Linked DNA regions of Cricetulus griseus. The protein of the gene in region 2 purifies or fractionates together with the protein of the main gene of each other region. This does not show direct contact. Links are inferred from orthologs where the notes say so. Each region holds a gene or a part of one and is shown on either strand. Other genes may lie near its edges.

Evidence for each region.
Region 1: the proteins of Nck1 (region 2) and Wipf2 purify together in Homo sapiens (co-immunoprecipitation; 3 studies listed by BioGRID and IntAct, with this or other methods). This does not show direct contact. The link is inferred for Cricetulus griseus from reciprocal best matches to the Homo sapiens genes NCK1 and WIPF2.
Region 3: the proteins of Nck1 (region 2) and Pak1 purify together in Homo sapiens (affinity purification with western blotting; 8 studies listed by BioGRID and IntAct, with this or other methods). This does not show direct contact. The link is inferred for Cricetulus griseus from reciprocal best matches to the Homo sapiens genes NCK1 and PAK1.

Annotation. Positions count from the first base shown.
Region 1 is NC_048600.1:111,943,617-111,953,392, reverse strand, and holds the start of Wipf2 (WAS/WASL-interacting protein family member 2), read right to left. Parts: upstream 5,459-9,776; 5' UTR 5,322-5,458; intron 5,155-5,321; exon of another isoform or gene 5,056-5,154; intron 1-5,055. UniProt on the Homo sapiens protein: Plays an active role in the formation of cell surface protrusions downstream of activated PDGFB receptors. Plays an important role in actin-microspike formation through cooperation with WASL.
Region 2 is NC_048597.1:208,846,350-208,856,025, forward strand, and holds part of Nck1 (cytoplasmic protein NCK1), read right to left. Parts: intron 4,654-9,676; 5' UTR 4,615-4,653; intron 2,375-4,614; 5' UTR 2,357-2,374; coding exon 2,131-2,356; intron 1-2,130. UniProt on the Homo sapiens protein: Adapter protein which associates with tyrosine-phosphorylated growth factor receptors, such as KDR and PDGFRB, or their cellular substrates. Maintains low levels of EIF2S1 phosphorylation by promoting its dephosphorylation by PP1.
Region 3 is NC_048596.1:101,661,102-101,670,877, reverse strand, and holds the start of Pak1 (serine/threonine-protein kinase PAK 1), read left to right. Parts: upstream 1-4,080; 5' UTR 4,081-4,250; coding exon 4,251-4,319; intron 4,320-9,776. UniProt on the Homo sapiens protein: Protein kinase involved in intracellular signaling pathways downstream of integrins and receptor-type kinases that plays an important role in cytoskeleton dynamics, in cell adhesion, migration, proliferation, apoptosis, mitosis, and in vesicle-mediated transport processes.

The DNA.
Region 1 (9,776 bases), on a different chromosome or scaffold from region 2:
ATTTATTTATTTATTTTTTGTGCAAGGGTTCCTGTAGCCCACACAGGCCTTAAACTTGAACGCCCGATCCATCTGTTTCTACCTCCTCAATACTGGGATTATAAACAAGCCCCACCACAACTTAACATATAAAATTTGCAAACAGTAATTTCATCTTTTTTGTTGTTGTTGTTTTTGTTTTTTGTTTTTCGAGACAGGGTTTCTCTATGTAATAGTCCTGACTATTCTGGAACTAGCTCTGTAGACCAGGCTGGCCTCAAACTCACAGAGATCCTCCTGCCTCTACCTTCCAGTGCTGGGATTAAAGGTGTGTGCTATGGATGTATTTTTAAAAATATTCAGATACCAGACCAGTAAACTTTTTTTTTTTAATTTATTTATTATGTGTATAACATTCTGCTTCCATGTATATCTGCATACCAGAAGAGGGCACCAGATCTCATGATAGATGGTTGTGAGCCATCATGTAGTTGCTGGGAATTGAACTCAGGACCTCTGGAAAAGCAGTCGGCGCTCTTAACCTCTGAGCCATCTCTCCAGCCCCCTAATTTCATCTTTATTTCTTTTAAAAGTTGTGTGTCACCTCCTGCACTCAGGAGGTAGAATCAAGACCAGCCTGGTCTACAGAGCAAGTGGGACAGTGAAGGCTAATACAGTGAAACCCTGTCTCAAAACAAGACAAAATAAAAAGTTGTGTGTGTCTATTTTAGTGCATGCCACCTATACTGGTACCCACAGTATCCAGAAGGCGGCGTGGCTGGATCCCCTGGATCTGGAGTAAGTCAGTTGTGAGCCACACCACATAGTGTTAGGAACTTGGGACCTGTGAAGGGCTACAGAGTGACAGCTTGTCTCAAATCTCTTAAGGGGGCCAGTGAAGTGACTAAGTAGTGTATGCCCCTCAATGATACAACCCTGAGTTCAAACCCTGAGTGCTGCAATTAAAGGCATGCACCACCACCACCCAGCAATAAATAATACTCTTAAAAATACTCTAGTCGGGCTTTGGTGGTGCATGTCCCAGCACTCGGGAGGCAGAGGCAGGCGGATCTCTGTGAGTTCGAGGCCAGCCTGGTCTCCAGAGCAAGTGCCAGGATAGGCTCCAAAGCCACAGAGAAACCCTGTCTCAAAAAAAAAAAAAAAAAACACTCTAGACTAATGATGTGAAGAAAAGTCTGGATTCAAAGTCAAAAGGAAAATTCATTTTGGGGTTACCTCTAACATTATGGGGCTACTGCCATACAGTCAAGAAAACATTTTCATAGACCACCCCAAGATCATCAGAGAGAGCGGCATCTTCAACTACCTAACCTCCCCGTAGAATAGTCGGATAGCCTGAAAGCCAGGTAGCCAAGCCCTGGCTCAGTTATCTGATAGCCTGTGTGCCTCCACAGAATCTCTCTGCATGCCAAGCCAAAACTCCTAAGTTATTAAAAACTGACTTAGAGGCCGGGTGTTGGTGGTGCACGCCTTCAATCCCAGCACTTGAGAGGCAGAGGCAGGTGGATCTCTGTGAGTTCGAGGCCAGCCTGGTCTCCAGAGCAAGTGCCAGGATAGGCTCCAAAGCTACACAGAGAAACCCTGTCTCGAAAAACAAAATAAATAAATAAATAAAAATAAAAAATGACTTAGATATTAATATGCCTACCAACAGTTTTTTTTTCCCCCTCTAACAACATCATTAAGTTCTTTACATTTCATCCCCTTTGGGTTCTAAGACATGGTCTTACTCTATAGCCCAGGCTGTCCTTGAATTTGCAGTCATCCTTAGCCTCCCAAGTGCTGGAACTACAGGCATGAGCCACATCTGTCTTATGTTTCACATTTCTCAATGTCTTTGTTGCTGCTGTTGTTTTTGTTTTTCAAGACAGGGTTTCTCTGTGTAGTCCTGGCTGTGCTGGCTCAGGCTGGCCTCCAACTCAGAGATTCGTCTGTCTCTGAGTCCTGGGATTGAAGGAGTGCAACATCACCACCTGGCAACATTTTCAATATCTTGCCATAGATAAGGCCAGTAAACACTTGCTGGGCCTGGAGGTGTAGTTCAGTGGTAGAGCACTTGCCTAGCACTCATGAAGCCCTAAATTCAATCCCAAACACTGGTGAAAGGAAAGCAAAGGCTGACATGTTCCAAACTTTAGTCTATGAGGTTCTTCCAGCTCCAAGACTAGGGAGCAAGAACACAGGAAAGCTTGAGATGCTGTCTTCCTCAATGCCCTGGCCTTGTAAGTTAGGCAAATGCAATGATTCTGTATTTGATCACCACATAAATAAGAATTAGATTTGAAATTTAGAACAATTGCCCAAACATTCAGTGAAGAGTGCTGCCTCTTCCTTGCAGAGCAGTTCTCCAGATCTACCAGTGGACTTCATTTTGACTTGGAAAGCCCCATGCGCTCTGATCCAAAGCATATATTCTGAGACAGTCAATCAACCAGAACTCTGCCAGCCTCTACTTGGGAGCTGTGTGAAATACAGTTAACAAGAGCTTACTTTGAGAAAGAGATCAACAATCACACTCTTAAAGAAAAGAAGTTGTTTGGCAAAGGGATGCATGTTGCCAAAATGTTAGTCACAGCTTCAAGGTCCCAGTTGGTGTCTCTGCAACTATTCTTTGCTTTGACAGAGTCCATTCTCTGGCTCAAGAAACCCAGCTCAGCTTCTGTCACCCTCCGCATTTGAAGCAGTCAAGAATCCTTTCATTTTGGTGGCATCAAGCTGTGACACAGACAGGATGCCCACCAGAAGAAGGGGGAGGGTGACTTGCCACTTTCCGTTTAGGACTAGTTGAAGCAGAGCAATGGGAAAATGTGACAGGAAAGGAAAAACTGAAAATCATTGTGCTAAAGAAACAGGCCACTGTAGCAGCTCCGAGCTTCTGTGATAGCAAAACCCTTTTAAGAATAAACCAAAAAAATTTGTTGAAGGTGGCACTCTCCTTCAGTCCTACCTTGGAAGGCAGAGGCAGGTGGATCTCTATGAGTTTGCGGCCAGCCTGGTCTGCAGAGCAAGTTCTAGGACAACCAGGGCTACAGAGAGAAACCCTGTCTCAGAAAACAAACCAAACCCCAGCAGCACACAATTACACAGATTTTTATCTCCAAATATGTGCACATACTTCATGCCTGCAGCTCCTCCTGGAGTTGGTATGAAGACTAAGGTTTGCTACAACAGCCTGAACTAACAGTCCATGAACTTCAGAATTACTTGAGGGCAACAGGAAAAACACAAGTGTGCCAGGAAGCAGTTCAGAAGGCTAAAGTCAAGCAAGAACATGTGATGGTATTCCCTCCAACAGATCAGGATCCCTTTTCTTAGCCTCTATAGCTACACTCTTCCCAATATCCTTCCCCTCCTGCCTCTCACCCTTGTGTCCACATCACTAATCAGCACCACCCCATGTAAACACCATTTCTGATACCAAGAGTGAGACAGAATTCATACTGCCAAGTCTTTGGAGAATCCACATCAGAACTCAGAAATGCTAAGACTCTCAGAAACACTTCTAGGCTGAACGAGTTCACTTACCAGCTAAGTGTTCAAGGTAGTACAGCCAAAGAAAAAACTAAAACAGAATGCCAAAGGACTGACAACAAAGCATCTAATACTGTCTACAAGCATGGTCTCTACCCTCTGACAACAAGGCCACAGATACTGACTGAACCAAGGCATGCATACAGCTCACCTCTCTAAAATACTCAGGTACTTAGAAAATAAAACACTGCATTCTCAGAGTCACTAACAGCTGAACTCATTCACTTCCGACTCTAATGTCCATATCTTCCTCTTGGTGATAAACAACCCAGTAACACAAAAATCTCGACTATTAAAAATATTAAGATATAGGAAGATGTTAGAAGACTAAAGGTTATATATTAAAATACATAGAGATGCTGGGCAGTGGTGGCACACATCTGTAATCCCAGCACTCAGGAGGCAGAGGCAGGTGCTTCTGTGAGTTCAAGGCCAGCTTGGTCTACAGAGTGAGTTCCAGTACAGCCAAAGCAACACAAAGAAACCCCGCCCCCCCCCAGAAACCCCCACTAAATAGCAGTATCTCGATCCTGTTTTTCTTTACACTGACTTCAAAAATCAAATTAGTTAACTCAATCTTCTAGGGAAACAGATGGGTCAGGCCTATATTACAGAGGAAGAGAATGAGAGTTTAATGATGTCTCAAAGTTACATATCAATCTATACAGGAGCTAGAGGACTTCTTATTCCCTAAAATTCTCTTCTGATTCATAAAAAGATAAAAGAGTAGCTAAAAAAAAAAAAAAATTAACAAGCCAGAAGACAGAACTCCAAAGCAAAAGTAATAGAAGAAAAAAAAGGAGTGGGCCCGGGAAGTGATCAACCTAGTACTAGTCAAGTCACTTTAAAAATATGAGTTCCGGCTGGGCGGTGGTGGCACATGCCTTTAATCCCATCATTCGGGAGTTCGAGGCCATCCTGGTCTACAGAGTTCCAGAACACCCAGGGCTACACAGAGAAACCCTGTCTCGAAAAAAAAAAAGAAAAAGAAAAAAGAAAAAAATCAAAGAATTGCAGGGCTCGGGCGCAGCACAGAGGCAGAGCCTTGCCCAGCATACAGGGGGACCAGGATTCAATCCCCAGCAAGGGGGTGGAAGGTCGAGTCCAGTACCCACCATCTTCCTTCAGCTTCTCCTTCCAGAATATGCCTTCCTAACCATCCCCAGTCAGCAACTCAACCGCACACGCAGCCTACGTTTAGCACCTTCAGATTTCCATAGTCCCTCATAGCACACGGCTCCTACAGGAGCCTCCAACTCAGGTGCTTCCAACCGCATCTGAGACACCTCTCCGACTCCCTCTCTCCCACCCAACACCCTCAAGATTTCCTCCAACGTAAACAGCTTCCCTCCCAGCCATTCCTTTTCACCTAAAATCAATTCCGAAATGTCACATCGGCCTCCTCCACTCAGAGCATCCCGCGTTTAATAATTACCTTTCCCAACAGGTCCTCCCTCCCGTCCCCATCTCCCCCTCTGCGCACGGTTCCCCTCCCTCCTCACCCAGAGTGGCCGTCTTGCTCACCTCACCCAACCCTTCAGGGTCTCTAATTTCCTGTCTCGCAGAAACCTCCCTCCTGCCCATTGGCACCGGCCGCACGCCACCGCCCTCCACTCGGACGGCCCACGCCCCCTCCCCGGGGTCTCCAGGCTCCGCCCCCAGGCCCCCTCGGGCCTCCCCCCCCGGCCTCCCCGGCGTCCCCCCCCCAGCGCCCCTCCCCGGCTCTCCCTCCCACTCAGGTCGGCAGGTCACCTCAGCGGCGGGCTCAGCCGCCGCGGCGTCTTTCCCACCTGGCCGGGGCTGCTCCGGGAGCGAGTCCTCCGCCACCCGCGTCCTGCTGTAGTCCTGCCCGTTCGCCCCGCGCCAAGCTCTCTTTCTCGCCGCCGCCCCTTTTACCAACCCGGAAATGGATCTGCTCCCACCGTCCCCAGCGTCCGCGAACAAAATGGAGGCGGGGGAAAGAGGAGGAGGCAGCCGGGAGCCCAGAGGCGCGGGGCGCATGCGCCCGGAGAAGCCCGCCCTCTCCCGGCGCACGTGGGGGCGGAGCGCCTCCATCTTGAGAAGGTCGCGAGAGGAGCTCCGCAGCTGAAAGCCGGGTTTGCGTCCTGGGGGGCTGCGGTTGGGGCCGCCTGCGAGGCTCTCGATGAGCGGTGGTGCCAGCGTTCAGCCCGCGAGATGCTTCTTGAATTGGTCAAATGCAGTCTGAGCCTCTAGACCTTTAAAATTGCGCGGATGACTTTTTAACCTTCGGTCGTCATAGGGAATCACTGAGCTAACCGCTGTTTCTTAAATATGGGTTGTGGTTTTTTTTTTTTTTTTCGTGTTTATTCCGCTGCGCGTGCGAACACGCAGACATCCGCACACGCACACGCGCGCGCACCCCATAAGCCCTTATATGGTCTAGAGTTAAGGAAGAACACGACTCCGCTATCCTTGCAGGGGCCCGGTAGACAAGCTCCGGTTGTCATAGCAACAGAGAGGCAAGCGTCTGCTTACATGTCATCGGTTAGGTCACTCTAACCACTGAACCCGAACATCCTCCCCAGCAGAGGGATCCCCATCTCACCGGGCTGAGAGATGGTGTTGTGAACTACTCTGGGTGCCTGGATGAGAGGGAGGAATCCTTGTCCATTGCTGGCCTTCACTCTGTTGCAAATGACTAAGGATATCTTCACACACAAAAGCTTGTCACCACTCCAGGCAACCCCATTGCTTCCTCTCTGCTCCTCAGGTCAACCCAATGACCAGGGCTGAAACTCAAGTAAAAGAACAGTATGGGGGCTTAATCCCCACTTACTAGCTGTGCGCTCTTGGGCCTCAGCTACCTCAGAGTGTTTGTCCTTTTCTATTAGAGTCCTTGAAGGCTCATCGGGTAACTGATGGGAAAGCATGTGATAGATAAGTCATAAGCTGTTATTATTTTTGTTTTCCCTCTGTTCTGTCTTAAGTGCTGGGCCCCACCCACTAGTCCGGTAAATGTCACATTGAATACCTGCTGTGAGCCAGTCACTAGGCTAGATACCAGGAGGTGGTTCCAGAGGTGACTAAGACTGAGCTTCTGCCCTCTGGGACCTCACCATGCTGGTGCGCAGACTGGCATGTAAACAGCTAGCTGAGATCCAAGTCAGCACGTGATGAGTTGTGATGGCATGTGTGCTGGGATGTCATAGGAATGATTAATTCTTGCTGAAGAATGAGACAAGATTTTGTAAATGGTTTGAAGTAGTCCTCGAACGATGAGTAAAATTTTGCCAGGTTGTAGAGGCGTTCAGGAGGCAGAGGCAGGTGGATTTCTGTGGGTTGGAGGCCAGCCGGGTCCACAGAGCAAGATCCAGGACAGCCATGGCTACTTGGAGAAACCTTGCCTCAGAAAACCAAAAAGAAAAAGAAAAAAGATGAGTAGAATTCCATTACCAGTCGGCAAAGGCAAGAAACACATGCCAGTCAGGATCCATGAAAATAGGGTGGTTGCCTCATCATTTTACCTATCTCATCCTTAGTGGCTCAACAGTATGTGGACCTACTTCTCAGCTCCTGAAACATGCAATGAAGTTCCCACCTCAAGGCCTTTGAGTGGGTTATCATTGTCCTATCTTCATTGTTCTAGCCTTTGCTTCAGTACTCCAGAGGGTAGTCTGTGCCCAGTAGAGCTAAAGTAAGCCCCTGCTCTTACTACACCACTCTATGCCAAGGGCAACCATGAGGGTGAATACAGAGGCATCTCATTTGGGGACATATTGATAATCTTTATGAAGAAAGAAACCCAGAGGCTATCTCTCATTTTCTACATGAAGTCTGTAGGAATAGGCCAGGGTGGGAAGGAAAAGAAAGCACGCCAGGAAAAAATTGTTCAAAGCAGAAAGAATTTTTTTTTTTCTTTTTTGAGACAGAGTTTCTCTGTGTAGCAGCTCTGGCTGTCCTGGAACTCCCTCTGTATTCCAGGCTGGCCTTGAACTCAGAGATCCACTGCCACTTTCAGGTCTGCAGTGAGAGTGCTGGGATTAAAGGTGCCACCACACCCAGCCAATATGTTAAATTTTTATTTATTGTGTATTCTGGAGGCACACCATAGGACACATGTGGGGTCAAAGGACAATTTGCAGGAACTGGTTCTCCTCCCATCCTGTGGATTCTTGGAACCAAACTCAAGTTGGCAGACTTGATGGCAAGTGCCTTTCCAGCAAGCCATCTCTCCAGATTCTCCCTTCCATAATAAATATTCAGATGTAGTTAGAGCTAGAACTTAAAGGAGAAAGAAAGTAGGTTTTAAACAGTAATTGAGGGCCAGGAGGAGTGGCCCAGCCAGGGATACACAGTGAGACTCCTGTCTCAAACAAGAAGACATGAAAGGAGGAAGGTGACATGTCAAACAGAAGAGTTCCAGAGGGAGGAGAAGGGGATAAAAGAGGGGGTAGGAGTGATTCTGGTCAGTATATTATATAGATGTATGAAATTGTCAAAAACAAATACTTAAAAAAGAAACTGTGGGGCTAGAGAGATGGCTCAGTGGTTAAGGGCACTGGCTGCTCTTCCAGAGGACCTGAGTTCAATTCCCAGCAACCACATGGTGGCTCACAACCATCTGTAATGAGATCTGGTGCCCCCTTCTGGCCTGCAGGAGTACATGGAGGCAGAACACTCACACACACACACACACACACACACACACACACACACACACACACACACGCTGTAAGTTTTGACATTTATTGCAATTTGCCATATACCAGTAATTGTCATAACGTTTAATCCTCACAGTTTTCTCAAGTAGGTAATAGTATTCCCACTTTACAGGTAAGGAAATGAGAGACATGAAGCTTAACTATCTATGTTCAAGTCACCTACCTAACAAAGTAGCAGACATGTCTTCATATTTTGTGCTGTCAGTGCTCACACCAGTGACTCTGTACCCTCCTTTTTTGTGAATGAGTCGTTTTTATGTGTATGAGTGTTTTGCCTGCACCTATGAGCAGTACAAGGCCTAGTATCTTTGGAGGTCAGAAGGCGGCATTGGATCCTGTAGAACTGGAGTTGCAGATGGCTGTAAGCCACCATCTGGATGGTAGGAATCGAACCTGTGTCCTCCATAAGGGCGATAAGTATTCATAACTGCTGAGCCATCTCTCCAGCCCCATGATTGTAGTTTTATTATTTATGTATTTATTAATTTATTTATTTGGAGGCAGGGTCTCACTATGTAGCTCTGACTGGTCTGAAACTCACTATGCAGACCAGGCTGGCCTCAAAGTCACAGAGATCTGCCTGCCTCTGCCTCCTGAGTGCCATGATTAAATGTGTGTGCCATCACCACCCAGCTTAAGAGACCCTATTTTTAAATATATATGCTGGGTAGCAGTGGCACACGCCTAATTCCAGCACTTGGGAGGCAGAGGCAGGTGGATCTCTATGAGTTCGAGACCACCCTGGTCTACAGAAAGAGTGCCAGGACAGCCTCCAAAGCTTCACAGAGAAATCCCATCTGGAAAAGCCAAATAATAATAGTAATGATGATGATGATGGTGACAATAGAGTTGGGGAGAAGACTGAATGGGTAAAGTGCTTGTTGCCTAAGCAAAAAGACCCAAGTTTGGATCTGCAGCACCGATGTAAAAGCTGTGTGATGTGCACTAGTAACCCCAAAGCTGGGGTGACAAACACAAGTGGATCCCACGGTAGCCAGCTAGTCTTCCTAAATCAGTGAGCTTCAGGTTCTGTGAGAGACCCCATCTCGAAAATAAGATTGAAGATGGGCGTGATAATCCATACCTTTGATCCCAGCACTACAGAGGCAGAAGCAGGCAGATCTCTGTGAGTTCCAGGCCAGCCAGAGCTACACAGTGAGACCCTGTCTCAAGTTGGGGTAAAGCTCTATGCCAAATTATTCCCACTCCTAGGCACCTTGAGAAAGTATTCCCTGTGGTGACACCTGGTGGTTGCAGATGTTACTGCCTGAATTCCTTGCTTACACTCCCCTGCTTACACTCCCAACAGATCCTGGTTAGGCTGGTATTTATTTATTTATTTATTTATTTATTGTTTTTGTTTTTTGAGACCAGGTTTCTCTGGATTTGGAGGCTGTCCTGGAACTACCTCTTGTAGACCAGGCTATCCTCGAGCTCATGGAGGTCTGCCTGCCTCTGCCTCCTGAGTGCTGGGATTAAAGGCGTGCACCACCAACTCCCAGCTAGGCTGGTCTTTTGACCACTCTAGATTCTTTTGATCATTTTACCATCCCAGGAGACCCA
Region 2 (9,676 bases):
ACAACTGACTTCAAATGCCTAGATTCTGGAGTTACTAAACTACAGCTATCTACATCACATCCATAGCATGCATATCCTCTCCCTATTTATTAAGCATTCTCATGATAAAACGCTTTAAAATTATTTATCAGATCGAATAGCATTGAAAAGACTACCAATCATTTACCTTGTTACATAAACAGCATAAAGTACCAGCTTATATAAACACACTGAGTTCTCAACATATAGTTTCCCTCTTAATTCACGAAAGGAAAAATCCAATTCAAAACATGTAACAATGATGGACTTAAATAACAGAATAACTTACTGAAAAAGCCTTTAAAGACCTTTAACCAATCCATTTTGAATAAAAATTGTGCTCTCTTTTCGGAGTTTGTTGACACAGCTCCGGGATAATTTCAGTGAGCTTCCTGGTCTGCTCTGTAACCCTGAAACTTCCCACACCCAATCCATGTGACCTGGCCCACACCCAAGCAATAGAAACAGTTTTCAAAACCAAGGCTTCTCTTTCCAATACTGTTTCTCCTTAAACCATAAAATAACCTGTAGAACAAGTAACTCCTGGTGGCAGGAACACATGAGTTATAATTCAATAATTTTCAAAGAAAATATTAAAGCTAGTACATTTTTTGTTGTTTTGGTTTTTTTTGTTTGTTTGTTTGTTTTTCTCTGTGGCTTTGAAGCCTGTCCTGGCTGCACTTGGCTCTGGAGACCAGGCTGGCCTCAAACTCACAGAGATCCACCTGCCTCTGCCTCCTGAGTTCTTCCTTTCCTATAACTCCTCCTTTTCCTTAATTTCCAGACAATGTCTCCACTAGCACAGGCACTATGAAACAAATTCACTAAATTACATGGGATTTAAGGTACCAAAATGGGGTGCAGATATTCTGGGAAAAGAGGGGGGTTCAGATATTTGATACAAAATCTAGATTCCCAACATTATTTTCATCAAAGACCACTAATTTAAGGTAGCATTCCCAAACTTTGGGGAATGCACACAGCCACAACTGTAATAATTAAGTAAAGTTAATAGAGGTTCCCAAAAAAGACAAAAAGTCAACTGGTCAAATGCCACACTGGCTGCAGATATTAAAATATCAAGTACACCAGAAATGTCTTCATGTAGGAACTCAAAGTCCAATGCTTCACAAAATTGCTTGAATTGTACTACATTTTATCTTTCACAGCTTACAAGAGTTAAAGATATAAACATTTACTCTATATTGACAATAATTATTAAAATACCAGAATATCAATTGTGCATTAAGAATTTTAAATACTATTTAATAATAATATCAGTCATGCTTGCCCCAAACTGTCTTCAAGAAAACATTTCCCCCTTTTTACAAATAAGCAAAGAACTATTAAGCAATAGCATGTCTCCTTGAACACCAAAATTAAATGTCTGTTCCTCCCAATTCCTTCCTGTCCATTAAGGAAAGTTAAATTAAGAAAAGGGAGGAGGTCAGTCTTCATCCTACACACTTCCTTCCTTTAGTTTAACCAGGGTCAGGGTGAAGTAGGTTCCCCTATCTCTGGCCCTAATAAAGGCCAGTAAAAATTTAAAACAAAGATAAACAGAGGAAGAAAGGTAATGACAATAAAATAGGAAATGACGGGTCCTATAGATACAAGTATACAGCAATGACCGACTGGTGTAAAACTCTTTTCAGATAGAAGAAAATAAAAAGATTTGCCTTTTAAAGTGACATGTGTTCACTACATGTCAAAAGTTCACTAATGTGCCATGTAAAATAAATTACCAGGATGTCCAAGGAAACAATTCTGCATCTCACAAACTTTTCAATTGGGGCAAATTTTCTGTAAATCAAAACTCCATGAGGTATTTAATACTCAAGAAGCTGTTTCGAGAAGGTCAAAGTTAGTTCTGCTCATTAGTGCCATTTGAATGTGGGCCTAGATTTATAGAACTGTTAACATGATCTTCACTAGCCTCTTAATCAGCTGTTAGGAACTCAACTTACATACCTAGCTAACATGACTGTTCTGGCCTTTCCCAGCCAACTTTGTACACTGCTGTAAGGATTGTGTTCAAAGAACTAAGCTCCAGAAGCTATCTAAAATGAAAGCAGGTGTTTTTCCTTCAATGTGAAACAACTTACAACTTACCCAAGGTATCCTTCAGGTTCTTAACAATAGATGCTTTCCGAGCACTGTTTTTTCTTTCCACATAGTTAGAAGGGACAAAACCTGTTTTATTCATGGAATTTCGAACTCGCCACCAGGATTTAGAATCGTCCAAAAGCCACAATCTCTCATTCTTTTTGATATCCAGCTCTTGCTCTTGCTGTGCCACATAGTCAAATTTGGCTACTACCACCACTTCTTCAGCCATCTTTCAGCAGCTTCAGTACTGTAACACATAGAAAATGTTTTTACATGTTGCTGAAGTAGTAATTGTCTACATGCTTTTCCAAACAGATATGCTTAAATATTTAAAAACACAGATATTATGAACCATGTGTATAATCCAAACACTCAAAAGGGTGAGGCAAGAGGACCTTCACAAGTTTGAGGCCAGCCTTGGCTACATACTGTTTGAAGCTAGACTGACCTTAAGACCCTATCTCAAAACCAATACACAAAACAAGAGACAGAGGCTGACGCTGTATGTAGTTCAGCAGTAGAGTATATGCCTAGCATATGCACGGCTCTGAGTTCAACCTGTTTCAAAAATAAAAAAAACCAAAACCAACCAAACAAACAAAAAAGAAAATGGAATAATGAAGCCCATTACTCTGTAATCTGGCTTAAAAAATTATTTAAAACTTTCACGTTACTAGAAAAAAAATTATGAAGGAGATGTTTAGTTAAAATTGGGGCTACCAATTATAACCCAGTGGTAGAAGAGTGCTTAGCACTCAGGGGTAATCTCTAGTCGTCCCCTTCTAATTAAAGTGACAATTCGGGCTACATCAATCAATAAAACAAAGAAAAAGTACATCCAAATATCAGGAAGCACAACCTTATCCTGCAAACAATCTAAGGGAATGGTAACACAAACTATAAATAAATCTGAAAATAATGAAATACAATGATGAAACTGTATGAAAAAATAAAATATAATTTGTTTATATACATCATTTTAAAAGAAAAAAATACAAGCAAATTGAACTTTTAAGACCAATTAAATGCAAGGAAAAGAGCCTTCAGAGAAAAGGTATGGCTCTTGAAAAACATTAAATTGTTTCAGGATTTATTTTTTTTCATAGGCAAACCAGGAATGAGATGTGAACAACTGTAGCCGTTTTACCAGCTGGAGGATGAAACTGACACAAAGTAGGAAGACAGTTCCTTGGGGAAAGAGCCAGAATTGATAAAATATGACACAAGCAACCCTCTGACCCTCCAGGTCTTTGAGTTAGTAATGAGAAGATTGTTCACTGTCTCAGACAATTTGGGTCATCCATTTACTGTTATTTTCAGTTAGAAGGCCACACTATAGGTAAAGTTACCCTACTAGATAGTTACAATGTACTTAAAAAATGCTTAAGTAATTTAAGAATATATAATACTGCAACAGAAACATACAAATCGATACAATAAATACACAGATACATACAGTTAAGCTTTAGAACTCCCCCACACACAAGTGAGTTCTAGTTTAGGCTTTTAAAAAGTGGAGTATTTGAACTTACTTGTGATCTAAATATTGAAGTGATTTCTGTTTATATTTTTATTCCTTCTTCTCCCAAACATTTTACACAGACCAATTCAAAAGCAAGTAATTTTTAGTAACTTTCTTTGATAAATTTTTCTAAAGTATCAAATTAGTTTTCAAAAAACAACTTTCTTTAAGCACTATTTGTTTATATAATAAAGTTTAACAATACATATTCTTGAAAGAAACTTTCTCAGTAAGCACATTCAACTTAATTCACAGGAACAGAACTGTACCAAGGATATCTAGTTATATGCTTCTTTAACAGAAATGGAGGGGCTTAACCAGGCAAGTTAGCTAAGCAACTTTTATTGTATAAAAGCATTCAAATATATAAGGCTTTTGTATAAGAAGTAGCACTGTAAATCTCTTCAAATTAAGTTATTTAATGAAATAACTGATACCAGGATAACTGTCCTATTGGGAAAAATAGTCCCAGATTTCTAACTAGACAGGACTTTTATTTTTGAGGAAGTTATCCTTCTGTTAAGTACAATGAAATTCCTAAACACTGTGTCAGAAGAGCAGGGCAGAAGTGGGACACTCAAAGTAGCATGTTAAAGAAGTCGGCTGGAGGAGACTGGAAACCCATCTCTCCACCAAAGCTAACACTTAACCAGCCATGTGCAGAACAGGTGTATGTACAAACTGCCCAATCTGCCAGGCCCCAGCACCACTGACAGTCTAACATCTTCTCCAGACCTCTGACTTACTTCCTTGTCAAGAAGTGCTATTTCTTAATAAACTGCCTCTGTTTCTACAGCCATCCAAATGTCCCAGGTTAAATTTCTTGTTCTGGAATTCAAGAACCTGGAAACCGTAGCAGAGTCCTAGAGACTCCAATATCCACCAATAGCAATAATACAATAAAACAGACAAGAAAACTGAAAAGTGGAAGCACTAAGGATGTAGTTCAGTGGTAGAATACTTGCCTAGCCTGGGTTCAATCTTCAGTACAAACAAACAGATACCTGAAAAGTGAAGAGAAAATAGCTACAGATCTCAGGACCCAAAGAAAGATACAGTGGTCAACTTTGGGTCTTATTTGTGAAGGTGAAGACTGGTGAAACAGATATATCAATATCTACCAACCAGTAACATCAACTTGTGTTCTCCAAATAATCATCCCCCCCCCCCAAAAAAAGGGGGCCTACTTGGCAATACAGAAAATTATAAACAATAACTATTTTACTCCAGTCAAACAGCACAGGAAGTAATTCATGGTCGGGCCCACAGAAAAATCCAAGTAGGAGACCAACACCTGCAGCGGCAATTATGGGACACTGCAATCTCACCAGAAGCCCAATTAATGAGGAAGAGCCTTGACTTATCAGGCAGGCAAAAAAGACCTAAACAACATGGTCAACCAAGAGGAAACAAATTAACATTTATAGAATCCTCTGCCCCCAAATATCATTAACATGCGCCAGGAAACAGATAGGAAGATAAATCTTAAGGTTCCATTACCTTTTAGTACTTTCATATTATAAACTAAACCTCTTTGAACCCTTAAAAGACAAAGTACTTTGACACACACTTTCAGCTACTGATTTCCAGTTTGATTCTGTTGTTCAATCACTGTGTGATTGAGTTCAGTCAAATTTGTTGAGTTTTATTTTTGCCAAGTGATTAAGAGTTGGGGCCTAATGGAAGGTGATTATGTCAGATGTGCAGTCCTTGGAAGAGATTAATGTTGTTTTAATGGGTTCTCAATGAGCTGCCAAGTAGCCCTGGTACATATATCCTTTTGCCTTCACAGTTTACCTTGTGTTCCTCTCCTACCATACATGCCATTTGCCATATGTGCTATAGCCAATGGGAATACAGAGTAAAAACCAATGGGACTGCATAAATCTAGAATTTTCTATCAGCTAAAACTGACTACAGGTCAAAGAGGAAGTCTTCAAGAGAATCAGATGTCATAATGAAATAAGTAAAAATGAAAATTTACTTAAACATACATTAAAATAGGGAAACCCTTACATCAGAACTCTAACATCCTGTATAAGGAAGAAACTGACATAGCAGAAATCAGTGAAATTAAAGAAAAATAGATTTTAAAAAAATGAAACAAATTGGTGCTTTAAAACAGAGCAATAGGAGCTGTGTGTGGCGGTGCACCCTTAAACCCCAGCACTTAGGAGGTAGAGGCAGGCAGATCTCTGAGTTCGAGGCCAGCCTGCTTTACATAATGGATTCTAGGACAGGCAGGGCTACAGAGAGAGACCCTGTCTTAAGTAAACAAATAAATAATAAATAATAAATTCAACAGGAGCTGGAGATATAGTTCAGTCAGTAGAATGCAAGAGGTCTTGGGTTCAATCACCAGCACCATATAATGGCAGTACACACCTGCCTGTAATCCTAGAACTCAGGTACCTAGAACTCAGAAGTAGAGGCAAGAAGATCAGAAGTTCAAGGTCATCCTCCAATAAATATGGAGTTCAAAGACAGCCTGGGCTACAAGCCCTCTCCTCCTTCAGAAAAAAGAAAAGTGACAAACTCTAGACCAAGATAGTGGTGTATGTTTAGAATGAGGAAGGAAAGAAAAGACTGAGGGAGGGAAAAAGAGGACAATGGAGAGGAGATATCACAGGATAAAAAGGATAACAGGGAATACCACAAATACCTCTATACATGCAAATTTGATTTCTTAGAGGAATCAGACCGGTTCTTCCCAAACACAAATCACCACAACATACTCAACACACAAGAGTATTTGAAAAGCCACATAACTAACAAAACAAAATAAATTTGTAATTTAAAAATGCCACCCCTCAAAAGAAACTACCAGCCAGTATACTTTGGGACTATATATAGAAAAATGACTAGTAAAATATTAACAAAAATAATTAGCAGTATATAAAGAGACAATATTCTATGATCAAGTGATATCTGCTGTGATACAAGCCTCATTTGATACTTAAAATTCATCCATAAAATCTGCCACATTAACAAGCTTAAAAAAATCATGAACTAGTACCAAAAAGGCATCTAGCAAAATTCAATATCCATTCATGACAAACATTTACAGAAAAAACAGAAACTCCTCAGCTTGATACAGCATGCACAAAAACCCAACAACTAAAGCCATGCTTAAAGGCAAGGGAATAGATATTTATTTACTGTCAAATGAAAATCAACAACAGTGAAAGGCTAACCTCTCACCACTGGATGCTCCATTCAGAGAGGAAGAAGAGGAGAGGGAGAAGAGAGGGAGGGATGGAGGGAGGGAGGAAGGGTATGAACAATGGGCACGAAGACCAGAAAGGAGAAATAAAACTAATCTTTTTTGGAGACTCACGACTGCAGAGAAGATGCCAAGGAATTCATAAAACAAACAAATCATCTCTTAATACTGTTTAAAAAATATGATTAAGAAATGGAAGTGGTGGTTCACACCAACAGTCCTGGCACTCAGGAGGCTGACAAAAAGATCACAGAAAAATTACTGTCACCTTTGGATGCCATGAGATCATATCTCAAAATATATATATATATATATATATATATATATATATATATATGAAATGGAAAGTCATTGGAAATAATGTGGCACTAAAGCCTTAAGTTACTATATAAATAAAGAAAAAGAAATTCAAACTTAAGTTAGTAATGACTGGTGCCTATACAGACTTGAACTTCCCCTTTGGATACTCCAAACAAAGTAACTTTGTTGACTGTTTAATTTTTTTGAGACCACCCTCCACCACCACCACACCCTGGCCTTAGCCTCCAAAGAAGATGGTGCTACAAGTTCATACCACAGCATGTAGCTAGACTTGAGAACATAAGATCTGCAAAAACCAACCAAATCTCTACACACCAATAATGAATACATGAGCACCAAAATTAAAAACACAAATCGGGGTGTGGCAGTGCACACTTGTAATCCTCAGCTACTCAGGAGACTGAGACAAGACATTCCAAGTCTGTGGCTTGCCTAGACGACTTAGAAAAACCCAGTCTGAAAGTAGTAGAGTACTCGCCTAGTATGTGCAAGAACCTGAGTTCAATACCCAGTATAGCAAACATATTTATGATAACTCAGAAATGAAAAGGAAAATTATGAGAGAAATCTAACAAAACATGAAGAATTCATAAGTTGGAAAGCTGATGAAGACCTAAATAAGTAAGTGTTCATGGACTAGAAAACTAAACAGCAAAGATGTCAAATTCCTCCAAGTCAGTGAACAGGTTTAAGCAAGCAACAAAAGCAAAGTGTGTGTGTGTGTGTGTGTGTGTGTGTGTGTGTGTGTGTGTGTGTGTGTGTGTGTGTGTGTGTGTGTGTAGTGTTCTGCAGTCAATTTGACACAACAGGGTCACCTAAGAAGGGATCCCAACAGAGAAAATGCTCCCATCAGAATTGAGTAAGCCTGTTGGGTTGTTGCTGCTGCTTTTGTTTGTTTGTTTGTTTGTTTTAAATGACTGATGTAGGAGGGCCCAGCTCACTGTGGGCAGTACCAACCCTGGGCAGGTGATGCTGGGTTCTATAAGAAAACAGGCTGAGCAAATCAGGAGGGGCAAGCAATCAGTTTTTGTTTGTTTGTTTGTTTAAGTTTTTTTTTTTTTCTTCCGAGATAGGGTTTCTCTGTGTACCCCTAGCTGTCCTGGAACTAGCTCTGTAGACCAGGCTGGCCTCAAACTCACAAAGATCTGTCTGCCTCTGCCTCCCAAGTGCTGGGTTTAAAGGTGTGAGCACTCCTTTATGGCCTCTGTTTCAGTTTCTGAATCTAGTTTCCTGCCTCGTCTATGATATGTAAGTGTGAATGAAGTAACTTTCCATCTGCTTTTGGTCATGATGTTAGGCAGACTTCACAACAACAGTTGAGAGCCATAAAATAAATGAGAAAAAAAGAGGAGAAGACATGAAGATACTGCTGGTTGTGGTGTGGTGGTGCACACCTGTAACCTGAGCACTTGGGAGACAGGTAGGAGGACTGTCCCAAGTTTGACATTAGCCAGGATCCACATAGCAAGTTCTAGGCTAGCCAGAGCTAAACAGCAAGATCCTGTCAAAGAAAAAAAAAAGAAAGGGATAGGAAAGGAAAGAAAAGAGAAAGGGGATGGGACCTAACAAAGCATCATCCACTGAAGAACATATAGAGATAGCATCAGTACACAAAAAGATAGTCATTAGCTATTAAAGTCACATTAAAATGCCACTATATAACTATCAGAATGGCTACTTAGAAGACTAATAATGCCAAATGCTTACACAAATATGGATCATTAATACACAGCTGATAAAAATGTGATCACAGCTATGATAGAAGACAGTCATCAGTATCTAGTAAAACTACCACAAACTAAGATTGCCATCCTGGATGTTTCTATAAAACTTGTGTTCATATGTTCTTACCAAATTTTTATGTAATTTTCAAAAATAGCCATAGTGATATCCTTTAATAGAAGACTGACTTTAAAAACTGTGGTTAATACATACCAAAATGGAGAAAGATTGATTACAAAACCTGGATAAAGTTCTAAGGTAATTACACTGAGCGAAAAAAGTCAATACTAATGATTACTCATTCCAGTAATTTCATTTACTGGAATGTAGAAGTAGAAATAAGTGACTAGAGAGTGATTACCAAACAGAGAATAAGAACAAGAGACTTTGTGGGTATGGTAATTTTGTTAAGTCAGCTTTCCCTTACCACTAAAAACAAAAAACCCTGAGATAGCTTATGAGCTCAAACATTATCTCTGGCTCACAGTTTTGAGGGTATCAGTCCATAATTGTCTAGCACACGTGCTTTGGGCCTGTGGAGCACAGGAGCACACAAGGAAGTCAGGAGTACATGGATGAACTTCATTACCAAGAAGCAAAAGAGAAAGGAAGGGAGCTAAACCTCCCTTCCATCCTCAAAATGATCTGGAGACCTCTCTCTAGGCCCCACCTCTTCCCAACAGCACCAAGGGCTGGGAAGCAAGACTTAGAAATCACAACAGCTACATTACAGATTAAAAAAAAAAACAAACAAAAAAACA
Region 3 (9,776 bases), on a different chromosome or scaffold from region 2:
CATTTAAGGTTTTGCCATGACCCTTTCTTTGTAGTTTGATAGTTTCTTTTTTGCATATGCTACTGTATGAACTTATCATAGTTTATTCATTTACTAATTAAAGAATGTCTTGATTGCTTCCAGTTTGGAGCTGTTGTGTATACAAGGGAGACTTTTTTTGGGGTGGGCTATAATCAATTTTCATTTGGGTAAGCTTAGCTGTTCAATTGCTGAATTTCTTACTAAGCCTATTTTTAGCTTTGTAAGAAATTGCCAAGTTGTCTTCTAAAATGATTACCATTTTGTATTTCATCAGCAATGAGAGTTCCTGCTGTTTCACATCATCTTCAGCATTGTTGTTAATCAGTATTTGGGACTTTAGCATTTTCTTAGGTTAATTAGGAATTAATAGTAGTGTCACATCATTGTTTAAATTTGCAGTTCTCCAATGGCTTACTATGTTGAGTATCTTTTTGTATGATTATTGTCTTTGGCAAGTCTTTTGCCTCTACCTGCTTTTTTTTTCTTTTGATTTATTTAATGTGTATGAGTGCTCTATCTGCATGTATACCTTTATGGCAGAAGAGGTCATCAGATTTATTATAGATGGCTGTGAACCACCACGTGGTTGGTGTGAATTGAACTCAGGACCTCTGGAAGAGCAGCCAGTGTTCTTAACCACTGAGCTATCTCTACCTGCTTTTAAAGATAGGGTCTTATCATGTAGCCTAAGTTATGCTGGAACTCATGGTCTACCTGCTTCAGCTTTCTAAGTACTCTACCAGTATGCTAATAACCCCAGCCATTTTGTTCTTGTTTATTATTTATTTATTCATCTTCCTACCTGCCTGCCTGTTTGTTTGTTTTATTGGTGTGGTATGCACATGTAATGGCATGCATGTAAAAGTCAGAGGACAGTTTTGTGGAGTCAGTTCTCTTTTCCTTGTCAGATTTATGCAGCCCATGTTTTTACCCACTGAGCTATCTCATTGGTCCTAAAATATTGCCAGTGCAACTGCAGCTCTATAGTTGGTGGATCTCCACCTAACTCATCCCCCCCCCCCCCCCCCCCCCCCCCCCCCGAGATCGAACCTAGGACCTAGGATCTTGTGCATTTCAGTCAAGTGTTCTACTATGGAGCTACAGTCCCCAGCTGCTTCCCCCATTTTTAAAAAAACTGGGTTGTTCTCTCTCTCTCTCTCTCTCTCTCTCTCTCTCTCTCTCTCTCTCTCTTTTCTTTTTTCCTGAGACAGGGTTTCTTTGTATTGTTTTGGAGCCTGTCCTGGAATTCGATCTGTAGACCAGGTTGGCCTCGAATTCACAGAGATCCGCCTGCCTCTGCCTCCCGAGTGCTGGGATTAAAGGCGTGCACCATCAACTCCTGGCTGGGTTGTTTTCTTATTGCTAAATTTTAAGAATTCTTTGTGTATTTGGGGTACAAATCCTTTATGTACTTCACATATGTACATAAAGCACATTATGTACATACACTGTGTAAATATATGTATCTGCATCTTGTCTTTTCATTTTTTTTTTGTCTCTTGAAGAACAGTTTTATGTTTTAATCAAGTTCAGCTTACCTAGTTTTTCTTAAATGGATTGTGTCTTTAATAATGCATCTAAAAAGAACCATTGCTAAATCAAGATCATCAAGTGTTGTGGAATATTATTTTAAGATATGTTCCATTGTTTATGCTGTGAAATATTTGTTTAATGATACAAAGATGTGTTACATTCTTTTATGTTATATTTGTAACTTTATAAAACTGTGTTACTTTGTCTGCCTAAACCACCTGATTGGTCTAATAAAGAGTTTAATGGTCAATAGCTAGGCATTAGACAAATAGGTAGGGCTGGCAGGCAGAGAGAATAATAAATAGGAGGAGAAATCTAGGGAGGAGAGGAGGTCAGCCATCCAGACACACAACCAGCCACGGAGTAAGAAGGAAAGAAAGATATATAGAATATAGAAAGATAAAAAGCCCAGAGGCAAAATATAATTAAAGAGAAACAGAATAATTTAAGTTAGAAAAGCTGTCTAGAAACAAGCCAAGCTAAGACCAGGCATTCATAAATAAGAATAAGTCTCTGTGTATTTTATTTTGGGTGGTGGGCCCCCAAAGAGTTAAAAAACAACAACAAAACTACAATCAAGATTTTCTCCTGTATTATACTATAGACATTTTATAGTCTTGAATTTAGATCTATGACCCATTTTGAATTGTGTGTGAAAACTATAAAGACTGTGTCTAGATTCTTTCCTTCTTTTTCTCTCCTTTTCTGTCATTCATTTTGTAATTAGAATGGACAGAGTATGAAGGTAAATGACCATCTTAAAACCACTTTAAGCTTAAGTAGTGGTTACATTAATGTAATTCCAGCACTTAGGAGGCTGAGACAGAGTTATCAGTTCAGGGTCCTCCTAGGGTCCATAAATGAGTTCCAAACCAGCCTGGTTGATACATTATTTCACAAAAGTAAACCAAATTAAACAAACAAACAAAAAATGTAACAACAACAAAGAGATCATAAGTGGGGGTGGGGGTCAGATCTCCTGGAACTGGAGTTACAGATGATTGTGGGCCACCTTGTAGGTGCCAAGGACTGATCTCTATCAGAGCAACAAGTGCTCAACACTACTGAACCATTTCTACAGTACCTAAAAAGTTTTATTGCATTTATTTATTTGTGTATGTAGTGTATCATATGTCATGATATACATGTGGAGATCAGAGGAAAACATGGGAAAGAGATACTTGTGTTTAACCTGTGTCCCAAGGATTGAACTCTGTGAAAAGTTTCTGCACCCTGATAAGCCTCTCCACCAGTATAGCAATCCAGATTAGACCAAATCAAACCAAACTAGAAAAAGCCCAGATTTAATGGATACAATTCTCCTGGTTGGTTTTCCAGTCCCCCAGGGAGGAGACAGAAAAGAGAGACCGGGAAACAATGTTTTCTGGTGTACAGTGTAAATACCCTGTGGGAGTGGTCTTGAACATCTCTGGGGGAGGGGTCATCATTTGATGGGTTTTCTGAGATGGGGCAGTTTGGAGAGGTGGGGGAGGGGGTTTTCCACCAAAACATTCCAGATCCTTTGGGTATATGGATGCCAGGGACTGGGGTGAAGCTTCCATCAGAACACGCAGGTCATCAGTCTTGGCAGCAAGTGCCTTTACCCACTGATCCACTTTACTGGTCCCAATTGTTTATTTTATTTTAGGTTTTTGAGACAGGATTTCTTTGTAGCTTTGGAGCCTGTTCTGGAATCACTCTGTAGATCAGTCTGGCCTCGAACTTACAGAGATCTGCCTGTCTTTGTCTCCTGAGTGCTGGGATTAGAGGTATGCACCACCACTGCCCAGCCCCATTTTTTTTTTTTTTTTAATGTAGAAATTCCTATCTCCTCAAATACTGCACATACTCAAGATTTGGAAAGGGTGAATAATGGAAGAGCTGAATTTTTTCTGTTTACAGTTCTTTCTCTGCAATTAGATGAATTTGGGCACACTGAATGGAAGTGCAAACATTTGTCAGGGAAGATGGCTGAATATTTAGTGAGTTGGGTTTCATGCTGGTCTAGTGGATACTCTATGCTAGTCAGTAAAGACTGGGCTACTGGAGTTAGTATGAAGATGACCAACAATGATCTGTTATAAACAAAACAGATAAATGAGAGGACTAAAAAGAAACAGGCTTAGGAACCAGACCGTGGTATATAGATGATTGTGTTGTTTACTGGATGTGTGATGCTGGGGAAGTCACCGTATTTTCTTATCCATTGCTTCCTGTCTTATACCTGGTCTGCTGTGTTACTTTCAAGCAGTATCTTCAGAATGTGTTACTTCTTTTCATCTTAGATATTATAATAAATTAGTACTATCTTCTTCTTTCTGTTGCCTATAGCTCTAAGAGATTCTGTTAATGTGCTCTTGCCCTCACTCTCTCCCACTGACCAGGGGTCTTTTAAAAATGTCAGCTTTTGTCATTTTGTTTTTTCAGAGCACTTCCATTGCTGAAACTTGGAGCAAAATCTAAAGTTATGAGCAGGTGAGATGGCTCAGTGAGTAAAGGCACTTGCCACCAAGCCTGACAACCCAAGATTGATCCCTGGGACCCATATGGTAGAGGAGAAAACTGATTCCCATGAGTTATCCTCCAATCTTATTACAAGAGATGTAAATAATTTAAAACATCCAAACTCATTAATTGTGACCTGGAAGAGATAATCTGCATAACTTGACTCCAGTCATAAACCTCAAAGGCAAGGGATGAGTTGGATGAGTGGAGCCAGTGGTGAGAGATACTGTCTCCTGTGGAGCACTTGGAAATATGTGAAGGTACTTTTTTTTTTTTTTTTAAATCATTGTAGTCCTTTAGGGGTACCTTTTATTGGGAGGGGACAGTCCAGAGTTGGTTCTTTAATATGTTGTCCAGGTCTAGTTCTGTCATAGTGACTAGTATCTAGCAGGTCCTTAAGAAATTCGGAGATCATATTCTTCTAGGACCTCAATTCTGACACCTGTGAATTGATGTAGTGCTTACTCCATAAGGCTTGTAAAGTACTGGGACACATACAATAAATAGCTCTTAACAAATGGTAGCTATTGCTGAGCTTTGTTCAAAGGAGAGGATGGTATAAGGGAAACTTTTTGAGAGTCAATATTAAGAGATCTCCCCCTCTCCATCCTAGTGTGAAAGAACCTTCAATCTGATTTGAGGAGGTCTAGGAAAGACTCCTCAATACCAGGCTGCAGAACTAAGGCACAGAGGATCTCCGGTTTTCTTCTTGATCCTGGGGCTCAAGGGGACTTTGGTAGCTCTAGACAGCCTGCCTAGCACCTCTTGTTGGAGCCTGAGTTGGTAGAACAGCAGAGACAACCAGAATGGTGGGGATGTAGCTGCTTCCCGCCCCTCAGCGCCTCTTCAGAAAGGAGAGGGCGGGGAGAGCGCTCCCCGCCCCCTTCCCCTCCCTTTCTCTGTTCCTCCCTCCCTCCCCGCCCCTTCACTGAACCACTCTGTCTTTGCTGCCGCCCTGAGAGGGCCAGAGTGTGCTGCTCCTCTGGAGCTGTGTGGCTGTTCTGCTGTACCCAGCCGAATCCAGCCTGTCAGGCTGGTTCAGCCCTGGCTTTGTCGCAACTGCTGAGCAGGGAGAGGTGCGGCGCTGCGACAGATACACAAGATCATCAGAGATGCTGGGCCCCGCACTCCCTGCCAGGTAATGCCGGCCTTTCCTGGGCCTGGCACAGCTAGGCTGAGCTAGGGTAGGACGAGGGGGAGTCTTGCTGCTTTGTGGGGTAGAATGGAAGAGCATTACATTCCACTTACCTTAAGGGACTCTTAATGAGGGAAGGGCCTCAGGGTGGAACCTTGAAATAAGCCCACTCAGGGCTAGGCCTTTGCTGGAATTAGAGATCTGGCTAGAAAAGGTTAGAAGGGGAAGCTGGATTTTTGGGGAACTATGAGGCCCCCCCCCCTGCCCTCCTTTGTAAGCATGCTTCTGCTTAGTGGCCTGGGTGATGCCTTTCTGTGCCTTGGTTTAGCTGAAGGTTTACTAGGATCAAAGGTACTGCTCCCTGGTAGGAGATGCAGTGAAGAAGGAGACCCCTGGTGCTGTTCCTGTTTAGGCAGCCTCTGTGAGCCTCAGTTTCCTTATTTGTAGAGAAGGGTATACAATGTTTGTAACTGGGTTTCCTAGGCTGTCAGGTTACCTTGGAAAGGTGAGCTAGATACAGACTAGAGGAGCCAGCCTTCTGTGTGTATTTTGCTGGTCTGATTAGAACCAGTGACTTCAGGGCAAGACAGGTTGAAAATGCTGATTCTCTCTTAGGGGCCAGTGTAGGTATGTTGCTGTAGGGCAGTGGGGGTTGAGAAGAAACAGGTGAAAGTATGTTAATATTTTTCCCTGAACTGGCCAATTCTTTGATACTTAGGCCACTGCTATAAACTAGGCTGTCTTCTGAGGAGCACTGTTATTGATCTACTAAGTAAATTGCAGACCTTGAGATTGTATAATGCCTTAATCACTGTAATTCCTTCCTTTATTATTTGGCACCAAGAAATACAAATATTAATGTACCTTGATTATTTTGGGCTTGCTTTCTAATCTCAGTTTCAAAAAAGCTGTGTATTTCTTCTGACAAGCCTTCCTTTCCTTCCTCCTCCTCCTGGTCATTTTTTCCTTGCCTGCCCCCTCACCTGTTCTCCTACCTCACCATTTTTCTTCCTTCCTTTCCTTGTATTCATGCTTTCCACTTCTTGTCTCTTCCCCTCTATAACCAGTTGTTTTTGTTTTCTGTTTTTTCTTTTCTCCCCTGCATCCTCTCCCTCTTGGTTAGGCTTTCTTTTCTTTTTCTTTTAGAATTTTTGATTGTACTTTCTCAGTGGTAGTAGGTTGCTGGTTTGTAGGGACCTTTGTTGTGATGTTTGTAAGGTCCAAACATTCTAGCTCTCTTGTTTTCACTTAAACTCTATTTTCTTTAAATGCCAGGCTCTCTCCTGATTGCCCTCGGACTGTGTTTTGGTGCCTCCCAGTAAGCAATCATTCTTCCTGGTTTAATTCTCCATCTTTTTCCTTGCGCCAAGGCATAACATGGGCAGTAGGGAAAAGGCACAATAGAAAGTCAATAGTTTGAAGGCTGGAGCTGGAGAACAAGTACAAATACAGCTAGGTAAGAGAGTCTGTCATTTAGATGAGGAGCTGGGAGATAGCCAGTTATCAGTTGGCACCCCCGAGGTACTGCTGACTTGAAGGAAAGGTTGACCTGTGTGTGTGTGTGTGTGTGTGTGTGTGTGTGTGTGTGTGTGTGTGTGTGTGTAGGGGGGAGGCACAGAGACAGGATAGCAGAGTAGGAGGAAGAGGAGAAGGTGGAATCTTGGGGCAAGAGAGTGTTCTTTTGAAGGGGCTTTGAAATGGAGATAGGTATCATTTGGGGTTAAGGGTGATTGTGGAGGGAAGCATAGGATGTGTAACGGGACCATATAGGTTAATTCCTCTTCTGACTTAGGGCTCTTTGGAGTGGCTTATTTTGCTCTGTAATTGTTTTTCCTTGGGCAGTATCCTAAAGTACTAAAGTAAGAGGGGAAACAGAAATGAGAATGACAGGGTTATTGTTTCATTGACACCATCTAGAATATGCAGTGTGTGTGTGTGTGTGTGTGTGTGTACATATACAAAAGATTTCAGTGGGGCATCCATCCATTATTAATTGTTCTTTCTGGCTGGTGAGATGGTTCAGCAGGTAAGGGCACTTGCCACCAAGCATGATGACCTGAGTTCTATTCCCAGGTCTGGTATGGTGGAAGAAAAGACCAACTCCTACAAGTTACCTAGATACATGAACCATGGCATGCACTCGCCACTACCCTAGTACATACATGCATAAATAAATAGATGTAATTTAAAAAGAAATTTTTTTCAGTCATCAACATCATGTTAGTTATGGTGCTCATTGCTAGGTAAAAAAGTAGGAGTCAGATTCATTTGCTGCCTTCAGTTGCAGGTTAAAGGTGTGGGTGGATCCTCATGTGAGCAGTGTAGAGGGAAGCACAGGGAGCTATGATGATGCAGTGTCAGAGACTAAGGTTCAACAAATCAGTGGCAGGGCTGGATTATAAACTCGTCTTCTTTAATGGTGCTATGAGTTTGCTTTGACCATGTTATCCCCTGACAACATGTCCATGTTGTGAATAAAGAATTTTCTTGTTTTTTCTGTCTTTGGGACTAGAGTATAGATAGTACTGAGACAGAAACAAATTAACATGTGGAAGGAAACAGACTTTGTCCCTGTTCATTTCTGGCTCCAGGCCTTTAAGTGACTCACTGCTGTGCACCCTTTTTGAGTTATTTGATCCCGTTCTCCCCCTTTTCTTCCCTGCTTTCTTAAATTCAATTTCTGGCACAAGATAGAGTTCAAAGACCAGATAGGCTAGGTGTTTACGTCACTGACTTCTGTAAAAACAGAAGTATAACACCCTGTAGAGTTGATGAGGATCTAGTGAAGCAATGAATGTATGAAAACACTTTGTATAGTGATGTCCCCGTATTATTTTTATTGTTCTTAGATGCATTCTTAAAACACTGAGAAAATGCTCAGATGCTGTAGCCCAGAAGCCTAAGGATGACACTGAGTAATCTAAAGTTTGAGTCTTATTCTTGGTGAATACAAGAAAAGAAGGAATAGATAGAAAAGGTTTTCAGGATTGATAGTTGAACTCCATGCTCAAAGTGGAGGCCAACTTTTGTAATCAAGTGCTTTATTCAGGTCAGAGAGATGGTAGGAAGCCAGTATGAAAGATTATATTTTTAGTGACTCTTTATGATAAACAAAGTCTTTACTTTAGTAATTACTGGTTACTTGCTTGTTAATCTAAGTTTCATATATAAAATGAAAAAATAATTTATATTAACACTGAAGAGTTTATTATAAAGCTCAAAAGTAATTTTATAAAAAAATAAAAAATACAAGGCTGGAGAGATGGCTCAGTGTGATTAAGCACCTTAGCTGATCTTCCAGAGAATCAATTCCCAGCTCTCACATGGCAGCTCACAACTGTCTGTAACTCCAGTTCCAGGGGATCTGGCATCTTCATGCAGACATACATGCAGGCAAAACCATCAACGCACATAAAAATAAATAAAATTTTAAAAATAAAAATTACAGTTGGTAAGAGTTATTCTTACTCTGCAAAAATAAACTCTAAAGCCACCTCTTAAAGTCTTCCTTGACTGTTAGGGCCTCTCTTCTGGATTTATGCAGCACCTCTTTGCACTTGGTACTTGCTGTTATATGTGGATTTTGTATCCTCTCCTCCCACTAGGCTGTGCATTCTTTTGAGGGTAGAGTCAGAGTCTAGTGCATCTAAAATCAGCTAAGTGCCTGTGTAGTTACTGTGTATATGTTAGTTAGCATAACATATTTGTTACTACTGTTTATTAAGGAGGTACAATAAATGAATAATTAAAATTTGTGATAACTGTGATAACCAGAGTAACTTTTGGTCATGTTAAGTTTAATAGTCTGTGAGACAATTGTATCTGTAACTCTTAGCAGTACCTGCAACTTAACAGAAGTGTAGGTAGAATTGATTGCCAGATAAAGTTATTAATCTGAAAGAGAGCTGTTTGGTTAAATGCAAAACTTGGGTGTCATGAACAATAAAGGTGTTATGTAAGGCCTTTGGGCTGGGTGAGTTCATCTTTGGGAGAGTGTTTTGTAGTAAGGGTCTGAGTCTTGGATGTGTGTAAGATTAGAGGGGAGAAGAGAAGGCAGAAAGATAGAAGGGAAAGAGAATCTAAGAAATAGGGTATTTAAAAGAGAAGTGAGGTTAATATATTGATTGCTGATGAGGAATTCAACAAGGTAAGGACAGAAAAATGACCATTTGATTTTTCAAGATGGGAATGATTGGCAATCCTGACAAGAATACTTTTGGTGAAATAGGAAGAATGCCACTTGGCATAGAAGGGAAGGTAGTCCTTTACATATTAATAGATAATTCTCTTGAGAAGCTCTGCTTCTGAGGGCAAGCAAAGACATAAGTGGTATTTGGAAGAGGATGTTGGTGTCAGAAGAGAGTGTGTGCCCACATGTAGGATACTGTATAGTGTTTGTATATTATTCCAATATTTCTTGGATCAGATAAAAAGAATCATTTAGATGTGTTTTTTGAATTTCCTTCTTCTTTGCTATTTATTCTACACCCTTTGGCTCTACCTTTAAGATAAATTTACCTGGGCTGGAGAGATGCTCAGCAGTTAAGAGCATTGGCTGCTCTTCTAGAGGTCGAGGACCTGA